Caenorhabditis elegans: one gene and its partner. The protein of the gene in region 1 purifies or fractionates together with the protein of each later gene. This does not show direct contact. Each region holds a gene or a part of one and is shown on either strand. Other genes may lie near its edges.

Region 1 (4,639 bases):
GCCACGAGGAGCTAAAATGTTTAGAATTCCACGGATCGATTCGTCAAACCTTTTCATGACTTATATCGTACATGATGACCGTAAATATGTTTTGAAAATTGATGCTCGTTGCGGTTGAAATGATAATCTATTGGCATAACTATTTTTTAAATTATGAATAAGCATTTGCTGTTTTCTCCAACTTGTTTGAATCAATAAAGATTTAATTTATGGCAGTCTTGAATATTTACAACAACAAATATTCCTTACACCGATTCATCATGGTTTTTTTAAATAGCAAGTATTGATTGAGTTGACCGTTTTCCTTCCCAAGAGTCAGAGCCACCATCTGATTATCGATCAAAAATAACATCTGTTCAATGTTCCTTTTCTTTATTTGTGCTCAATTGTGTCTCCTGCAGTCATGGCCACTAGTTTCCCAGTCCTTTGTCTCCCCAACAAGAATATTCGAGACGTTCTTCAAAATATGTCAACGTGCAATTTGTGAGTTTTTGGGAGGAAGGTTTCTTAAATTTGGAGCAGTCTTGCCAGTCTATAGACAATTCTAAATTCATTCCTGCAAAAATTATATAATTTCAGAATAGCATTCTCATTATGCTCGAAAGCAACAAAGTCTCATGTAATGCACCTGAAGAATGATATTCAACAAATTAGTATCAAAGCATTTTTATCAATTGATATTAATATTTTGTCACACAATCAAGAAGTAACTTCGTTGGTTTTCTTCAAGAAAGACTATGGTCGATGGAATTTTGAGAGTTGCGAATCAGTAACCGCCACAGAAACTTTGACACCGTTGGAGCCCGAGTCTGACAGAGTATGGGTGAAAAGAGGATTCAAACTTCGGGATTGGATCGATCATGTTATGGAAATATTCAATTGCTCGAGGATTCACGAAATTTACATTTCCAGAATAGGTCATGAAGAGCACTATATAAGTTTGAGCAATGCAGTGAAGGAACTAAAAACTGAGACAATTTTTTTTAGTTTTTGCTCGGATACTGTTGTCCAGAGTGTAGTCGCCAATGTCCAAAGCAATGATATATCCTTTAATTTATCATTCAACATTGAACCGTCCATGCAAAAGCATAAAGTACTTACTCGACACTTCGAACGTGTTTCATTTTCCAAAGATGATACTAGAGAAGCTCTCACGTTAAATGATTTATTGATCACCAACGTCTCCCAACTAAATATTTCCGCTCATCATCTGTCTTTCGAAGAGTTGAACATTTTCATCAGGCACTTGATTAGTGGATCGAATCGGAGGCTCAAAATTGTCGGCATTGTTTGTGCTGAAGCGACCAGGAACATGCAAATTTTGTTGAAAGGAATTTCTCACTCGGTGTACTCGGCGGAGCTAAAAATTGTGGCTCGAAACGAAAACGACTACCAACTTGGTGATACTATCTATGTATACCAAAATTGTGGAAGAAGGTTGGCGATGCAGACGTACTTATTTGAAGGAGTTGAGAAAATTGTAATGCGAGTTTATTGACTTTATTGTATAACTGTGTTGGTCTGTGTAATACCTTTTTATTTTCTACAATTTTCTACAACTCTCCAACCCTGCAAAACTTTTTTGCCACTTCTTTTGTTCGGGCTATTATTCATGATTTTTTGTTTCCTCATTTTTTTTGTTTTTTTTTTCTAACTTCTAAATTTTATGTAACTTTTTCCTCTCTTTTTCCCCCTAAGCCTAAGCCTAAGCCTAGGCCTAGGCCTAAGCCCAAGCTTTTCTACTTGCATCGAATACACTAATAAATGTTAAAACTATTGAAAAACAGATGACTCAGGTTCAATTAAAAAATGTGATAATAAATATTAATATTTTTCTTTTAAATGTGACCTATCACTTTTGAACGTTTTAAGAGTTTTAGCTTTACTCAACTAAATTTAAACTACCGGAAAACTCTTTAAAAATCTCTATTTTTGTTTAAATTATAAAGTGTTTAGGCAAATTTCACCCAGGGAACATGTGTCACATGTTTTTTGCTCTCCCTCTCATCCCCCACTGCTTAAAGATCTTCTCGGAGGATGCGCCACCTGTCGTCAATTTGTTGTGATGTTTGAAGACAGAGAAATCAGAAACAGATAGATAGACATTTCGTTTTGATATAAAAATACATTTTGATTTGTGTTTCCGAATTTTTAATCGAATTTATATTCCAGCCATGCTAAAACCAACTTTAACATTTTACTTAACACTTCTGTACACCCTGAGCCCGGTGAGCTCTCAAAACTCCACTGAGCCGTGCGACTCGGACAAGTGTCTCCTGATGGTCGCAGAGCTTGGGCCGATTATCAGCAAGCATGAGCACGTGAAGCCCAAAGCCGAGACTCTGAAAAAGATGAATGATTTGTGTACAGATATTAAGGTTAGGCTTAGATATCGGATTTTCCAGAAATTTCAATAATTTCTCATATATTCCAGACGTGTTTTAAAGCAGCGACGTGTAAAAAAGGAGCCCATACCTATGAAAGTATGAGGGATGCCTGTGATGGGCTCGAGTTGATGACCGGAAATGTGCAGCCTTGCATGACAAAGTTCTATTTAGCAGTGTATAATGAGAAGTACAATTGCACAGGAGAACGGGATTATTTGACTGTGAGTCTGGAGCTTTTTATTTCAAATGTGCACTCAAAAAAAATTAAAATAATTCCAGGACGACCTCCCAGCTCGCCGCGTATCCTACACATCAGGCCGGTTCTGCTTCTTCCAGGTCATTGGCAAGGAATGCTCCGAGGAGACTGTAGCCATCCTGAGCTCCAACTTCAACTATGACAACCTGATTAATGTGCTCACAACTGTGCCGGGAGGCTTTCAGGACAACTGCAATAGACTGCACCATGCGTTCAATAAACTTCAGTGTGAAGCTCTGGAAAGTGGTATTGTGGCGAAGGAGCGGGAGATCAACTGGGTAGACGTACAGTCGAATGACACGAATTTGGTGGAGTTTCTGCAGCTTTTTGAGGATGCAGAGGCAAGATTTTAGCGTTGATTGTGGTATACACCATTGAAAATTTCCGGAAAATCGGCAAATTCCGCAACTTGATAATTTGCCGAATTTGCCGGAAAAAACGGAAAAATTTCGGGAAGTGGGCAAATTGGCGCAATTGAAATTTCCGGCAAATCGACAAATTGGCAAATTATTGAAAATTTCCGGCAAAACGGCAAATTGCTTAAATTGAACATTTCTGGCAACCCGGAAAATCGTTGGAATTGAAGATTTCCGGCAAATCGGCAAATTGCTCGAATTTTCGGCAAGTCGGCAAATCGGCAGTTTGCTGGAATTGAAACTTTCCGGCAAATCGCAAAACCAGCAAATTGCCGAAAATGAAAATTTCTGGCAAACCGACAAACTGCCGGAATTGAAATTTCCGGCAAATCGGCAAATTGCCGGAATTAAAAATTGGGCTAATCGGCAAATCGGCAAATTGACAAGCTGACAATTTGTCGAAAATACAATTTTCTGGCAAGTCGGCAAACCTGTAAATGGTCGGAATTGAACATTTCCTGCAAATCGGCAAATCGGCAACTTGCTGGATTATAAAATTTCCGGCAAATCGGCAAATTGGCAAAATATTGAAAATTTCCGGCAAATCGGCATATTGCTGAAATTGAAAATGCCGCTAATCCCTGATATACGTAAACTATAAGCTATCAGCTAAATTTTCAAATTTTCCAAAATCCGTTCTCATTCCAGAAATGCATCTCAAAATCATGCTCCTACAACGACCTGGAACGCCTGATCTTCCAGAGCAAAAAGGACTGGTTTGAGCTCTACAGCACCGAGTTTTTCATCTGCAAACGGAAGATGATGCTCGACAAGCCGACCGCAAAAAAGTTCCCCTGCATCGGGGACCATAACATTGCGGGCTCGAAAAAAGAAGAAACATGTGAGCGGCACACAAAGCTGAAAGAATGCACGAGGACTGTTATGGAAGCTTCGTGTGGGAAGAAGGCTGTTGAGAATTATGAGAAAACCGCCGAGACAATTAAGAAACATTTTGGGTGTTGATGAATAAAAGGTTTATAGTCAAAAGTATTGAAAAAAGTCTCATTCAATAGTAATCACAGTAGAACAACGTATACTATCCAATTTCCAGTCCAAATGCATCATTGTTTCGTCATTTTGGGTGAACTTGATGCGTTTTTCAAGTTTATGGTTATTGCCGGGGTTTTTATTCCAGATTGAATAAGAAATCCCTTTCATCGAATCCTCCACCTTCCAGATTCCTTCATTAGTTCGATGAAGCTCGACTGTTTCCAGCTGTCGATTAGGTTGAGCTATATATAGCCTAATGAAAATGTTTAATTCCTGGGAAGACAATTTACAAGGGAATAGGCATAGTTTGGAGCAGTTCATGAGGAGTACATCGTCCAGCTGTAAATTTTTTCCGCGACCAGGAAGCTCATATGAAACTGAACCCAAATTGAGACAGTGAATTTTATGATTTGGCATTAGATGTCTTTCTGGGAATAGAGAAAAATAGGTGATTTTCTTGTGTTGATCATTGTTGATGCAATTCTCCAGCATAGTCTTTGGGACGGTTACTGAATCGCAAGACTGCAAGTCCCAATTGAACACGGACATGTTTTGTAGAACATCTTGAATGGTTTTGTTAGGAAGACGAA
Region 2 (5,648 bases), on another chromosome or scaffold:
GGATTGAATTGCCCAGAGCTTTTAGAAGAGATTCATCCATTTTCGCTTTGTCGAATAGTTTTGGCTCATTTTCAGACACACTGAATGTTGCTGTTTCAACGATTCCCTTACTGATTATCAATACTGCTGCCGGGTCGAAGTCAGTGAGTCGCTGAAAAATATAACAATTCATAGAAATCCTTTAAAAATTATCTGAAAGCGCAGAACTTGACTGTATAAGCACATATCAATTTTAACTTTTTTAAAAAGTTGTTTAAAAAGCTTGTTAAAAGTAATCCACACATGGGAAAAAGAAAAAAACTAACTCCTTTCAATTCACCAGTCATATTTGGAATGAGCATCAATGATACGTCCTTATCGATTACAAAATCTCCTGTACAAGTGAGACGAGCCAGTTCGTCGACAGCTTTTCCTCCGCTAATATTGATGAAACATTACAAGATTTTCAATCAAAGAAAACTCACATATCATCAAATGAGAGTACTGCAATCAAATTCTTTCCTCTTCCACGAATATACATTTCTGATTTCTGAAAAAATTGTTTCCATTTGGAATAATACACTTTATCTTTAAAAATATGTATGTGAATTCCAATTCCATATTAGCAGAAATATCTCATTAACTGACCGTTTCATTATCGCCACAAGCCAGCAAAGTAATATCATGCCGAGCAGCTCGTGCTCCTGGAACAATCGTGACTGTAAACGTGTCAGATTCGAGTCCACGTGCTGATACAGTAATTTGATGATCGCCAGGTGGCAAAAGTCTCCAGTATTCTCCAGCTTCAGTTGATATAATATCTTTTCCAGTATCAACAGATATTGTGGCGTTGGCAACTGTATTATTATTTCTGTCAGTGACAAGACCAGTTACTCCACTTAATCCCATCTCCAGAAATGAGAGTAAAGAGAATTGGTGTTCTTCCCATAATCTGAAATGGAAAATATACACTAACAATCATAGTTTTGAGTTTTTGATGTAAAGATACGCCAAAAAGTTGATAACTCTGATTTACAGTCTAGGATTACTGTCGAATTACTGTTCGCAGAAAAACCTGGATATTTTGTGGAAAAATTAAACACTCTACGGTAAGAATTCCTGAAAACCTCACTTTGGCATCATATCATCAGTTGGAAACTTGAAGCAACCCATCTCTATAGTAATTTCCAAACAATTCGTGTGCTCGTATTGCCAGTCCTGCATTCCCCCCGCCAAATGATACCATCCGGCTCCATTTGTGATTCCATTTATAAAATTGTCACCATCAGCTGATAATCCACATCTTAAACATGAATTTTATAGTTTTTGACAAAAATCTTGGGCTCTATAACCTTCTTCCAGTTTTCCACATTTTGGTATGAGCCCTGGCGTATCGATAGCTGAGCTCTACGAAAAGCTTGTCATCCGCACTCTAAAAATTTTTCGATTGAATTGTTCTCATAAATCACAAGAGCAGTATGCGCCCTCACAAGACCATTTCTCGTAATTTAACGTTTTCTTTCATATACTAAAAACAGAAAGATAAGAGCTTGGTCAAGTTAAAATAATAAAAACAGAGCGGATCCCTTATCTCAGTAAGCTACTGTAAAGAGAAATTTTTTTTTTCCAGATCATTAGGGCATGTTTGATATTGTTTTACAAATTAAGAAGAAAACTGCAAAAGAAAATCGGAAAAGTCGATAAAGAATAACAAATTCCACTTTTGAAAAAAGTTTGACTAGGTTCCCTGTTTGAATTTCCTCCAAACTGAGACTTGATTCAAAAGTGGGCACGACTACTCAATTTAGAGAAAATTCAAACACAGTATTGAAAAATCAGTGTTATTTTAATCAAATTTACCGTGAACTCGAATCACCACGCGATAATTATACAATTATCTTTTCAACTCTGTGCAAATTCACCAAAAACCAATTATTTCTAATTAAAAAGTTCTACGTGTCTGGCTTGAGATAATCATTCTTCAAAAATCTATTCAAGCAAATGGCTAGAAAGGGAACGACTCCATGGCACGAGAGCCGCGAGATGCACACACAAGATGACGCCGATTCTTCGTTGAAGGAGCAGGAGAAGACGACGAATAAGAAGGAACAGACCACTGCGCCACCGGAAAAGAAGTTACCGACTATTCCAGGTATACTAAATTTTCTTTTTTAAATCATCAGGAAACACCCAGACTAACCCTACACCTCAACGGCTCTGAAAAAGTAGGATGTAAAATTAAGATGAGAACGGAGGCCCCACCTGTTGGGTGAAACTGTCAAAAACAGATACACGGAACTGGAATATATTTAAACGTGTGACAACATTGCAATTATTCACGTGAATATTAAGAATACCATTACGTGTTAGAAATGTAAACTGCTTGAGGGAGTTGCATGAACATCTTTTCGTATATGGAAAAGCAGAACGAATTGCACATAAGGGCGCTGAGTGGGCAATTTAATATGCCCGTCACCCCTCGGTTGAATATAATTACCTCTTCTAGAGGCTGTGATATTTTGAAAGCTTATATCAAATTTAGTACCAAAACAAAACAAAGTATATCATGCAGGAAAACTCCCGAAACGATCTGTGGAGCCGCCAGAGGAGTCGCGAGATCAAAAACCGGCTGGAAACAAGCCCAATCTGAAGAAGTCTCCATCTAACCCAAGAATTCCGCCAGGAGGAAGCCATCCTCGAAAGAAACCAAAAGTGCCGAATCGAGACCCAAGTGGGAAACATGTGAATAGCGACAAGGCAAGTCAAATTCTTATTTTCAAAGTTTTTCCTACGTAATTGAAAGAGTTGCAAGATATTTGCCATGTGATGGCCGTGTTTAGCTAGTAAAATATGAAATCTGGAACAACTAACTAGCAACTGAAAAACTAGATTGTTTTATCCCCAAATCAATTTAAATTGTTGTTTTTTTTTCAGAAGAAACCTTCCGCTGAAGCTCACGACAAAGAGTCATTGTCATCCCCTCCACAAACTGACGCAGGAAAGGAAACAACCAAAGAATCTGCATCGACATATGGGGCGTCTTGGAAAAGTAGCAAACCAACGCTGAAAGCTGATCTGAAAGCTATGGAAGATTACATCACAAAAATGCCGAATTTCCATGGATACATATGTCGAGAAGATGCTGCACAGATTCTGAAGCATCCTGGTGACTGGTTGGTTCGATTGTCGGTTCCACCATCAAATGATCAAGACAAGAAGAACAAAGCGCAGAACTTGGCAAAAAGTGTTGAGAGGACGAAGGGTCACAAGAGTACAATGCAGAAAGTCTTTGTGATCTCAGTTCTTTGCAGTGAGTTTTGATGTCAACAGTCAAGATATGGGCGAAGCCAATCTAGATTTGTTTTGAGTTTTAAAAATCTTGTATTTTTTGCTATAATTTCAGAAGGAAAAGCTCTGTCTCCAGCAAAGTCCAATAATCGAAACTTGGTTATCAAGACAAACAATGGAAAGTTTTCAATTGACTCTGTCCATTGGCTTGTGAAACTTAAAGACCTTTTCTCCCACTATCAAGGAACTTCAGCAGTTCATAAAAATGTAAGTTGGCATGACGTGAACTATCATTTGAATCAATGTACAATACACAGGGAGAATTCCAACTCTTGAACCCAATCAGCCTCTCAAAATGGGAGTTTCAACATGAGGACACGGAACTTTTGGCGAAAAAACTTGGAGAAGGTGCATTTGGAGAAGTTCGAGTCGGTCGGTTAACCACGAAAGATCCGAAGAAAAAGTTGGTGGAGGTGGCTGTGAAGATGCTTAAAAGTTCAGCGGATTCAGTGACACGTGATCAAGTTGAAGAATTGCTTCACGAGACGAGAATCATGCGGAAATTGGATCATCCGAATGTTTTGAGATCTTATGGAGTTGCAGTTTTACGCGAACCATTGTATTTGATGATTGAGTTGTGTTCGAGTGAGTTAGTACCTGCTATGGGTTCGGAGTACTTGAAACTGTCCAAAATTCATGAATCTCGCAAAAGGGATATGAGATCTTTTTAAATCGCAATATTTGAGAATCTTTTTAACCTAGCATAATTCCAGCCATCTAAATATTTTTGCATTTTGGCCACTTTCGAGTATTTTATAATCCCCATGCACACTTTCGGAATTCAAAAATACAATTTCAGACGGAGCTCTACGTGAATATCTCAAAGAAAATCACAAAACGATCACTCTTGCCGACAAGATTAACTTCGTACTAGGTTCAGCTCGTGGTGTTGCATATCTTCATTCTCAACGGATTCTACATCGAGATTTGGCAGTTCGCAATATTCTTCTCACTGAAGATAAAACTGTATGACATCGCGGTTAAAATTTGACTTTATCAAATTATTTTTCAGCCAAAAGTGTCCGATTTTGGTTTGGCTGAATTAACGGATAGATATGAAATGAAAGAGCATTGCAAGATTCCTGTGAGATACTTGGCACCGGAGACTCTAGAACTCTTCATCTTCACTCCAAAAACTGATGTTTTCTCATTTGGATGTGTGATCTGGGAGATCTACGAGAACGGACAACAGCCTCACGATGGGAAAAATGCACAGACTATTCGAGCTCAGGTACTTGAGCATAAGCTCCTTCTTAAACCCGGAAAAAAAACAAAAAAGTTGTACTTTAGGTCAAGAAACGAGAGTTCCTGAAACTGTCGAGTTCGGCACCGGAAGCACTTCGACGACTAGTGGCTGAGAAGGTTTTTGTAGCGGATCCGGAAAACCGATGCTCGATGACTTCGGTAAACATTTAAAATTCAAGTAATAGCAATAAAAAATGAATTTCAGATAGTGCAGTGCGTGGAAACTGCGGAGAAGACTGTGAAGTAGCTTATTTTCGATTCGGTTTATAAATGAATGTGTTGTCTTGATAGAGGTTGAGAAGAACAAGCAAAGATCAGGGATGGGACAAAAAAATAATATTTGAATTGAAATTTTTACCACATATAGGTAATAATTAAGGGTTCATTTAAAGGCTACCATTTTTGAAAAATTCTGGTTCAAGGGATCCTTACAACATTTTTGGTTTTTTGAACCAAAAAAATCCCAATTATGTCGCAGAAAAATTTCGAAAATTTTTTTTTTTTTTTGGGTTTTTGAAAAAATCCTGGTTAAGACCGGACACCTCGACCGGGCATAGATAGGTTACAGTACTCACACAATCAGACATCATCCTTCAAACGAATCAAAACTCACAGCAGTATAAATACCATCTTGGCCAGTTACTGAATCATCATATGGATAGTTTGCAACTAAACTTCCGCCGTGTAAATTGGTACTTAATACAAACGGATATGCTTGAAGCCATTTCATCACAGCTATATTTTCCCTGAAAAGATGTACGGAGTTGAAAACTTCAGTGTAAACTTACTTTTCCGGTTCAGAACCACCTGATGTTTCTCGATGACTTTCGAATTTCGTTGGGAAATTTCGATTTAAATCCACATCGTTCGCGTTAGCACGACCCTGAAAATACAATAGAATAAACCGACAAAAACTCAACAAAAATAGAATACCATCGCAGAAATTCTGTCTCCTGGAAATCCTTTTTCATATCCATCTGGATTCATTGATGGCATTAAATGAATTCGCGCATTGTTCACCAGCTGAAACAAAAAGAAGTTATGTAAATAATAGATTGTAGGATTTACATCAGTAA

The links.
Region 2: the proteins of F08D12.7 (region 1) and F59A3.8 fractionate together in Caenorhabditis elegans (co-fractionation; one large-scale study listed by BioGRID). This does not show direct contact.

Annotation. Positions count from the first base shown.
Region 1 is NC_003280.10:2,766,653-2,771,291, reverse strand, and holds F08D12.7 (T20D4.11-like domain-containing protein), read left to right. Parts: upstream 1-2,170; 5' UTR 2,171-2,174; coding exon 2,175-2,378; intron 2,379-2,434; coding exon 2,435-2,608; intron 2,609-2,666; coding exon 2,667-2,984; intron 2,985-3,707; coding exon 3,708-4,022; 3' UTR 4,023-4,042; downstream 4,043-4,639. Other genes in the region: sdz-10 (F-box domain-containing protein), read left to right, coding at 1-118; fbxb-105 (F-box domain-containing protein), read left to right, coding at 404-483, 580-1,498; F08D12.15 (F-box associated domain-containing protein), read right to left, coding at 4,062-4,639.
Region 2 is NC_003279.8:5,521,606-5,527,253, reverse strand, and holds F59A3.8 (Tyrosine-protein kinase), read left to right. Parts: upstream 1-1,913; 5' UTR 1,914-1,980; coding exon 1,981-2,131; intron 2,132-2,551; coding exon 2,552-2,736; intron 2,737-2,913; coding exon 2,914-3,289; intron 3,290-3,382; coding exon 3,383-3,534; intron 3,535-3,584; coding exon 3,585-3,912; intron 3,913-4,126; coding exon 4,127-4,293; intron 4,294-4,339; coding exon 4,340-4,558; intron 4,559-4,617; coding exon 4,618-4,731; intron 4,732-4,777; coding exon 4,778-4,819; 3' UTR 4,820-4,862; downstream 4,863-5,648. Other genes in the region: cpd-1 (Peptidase M14 domain-containing protein), read right to left, coding at 1-151, 306-417, 465-529, 628-931, 1,112-1,282, 1,332-1,411, 5,186-5,318, 5,361-5,455 and 2 more.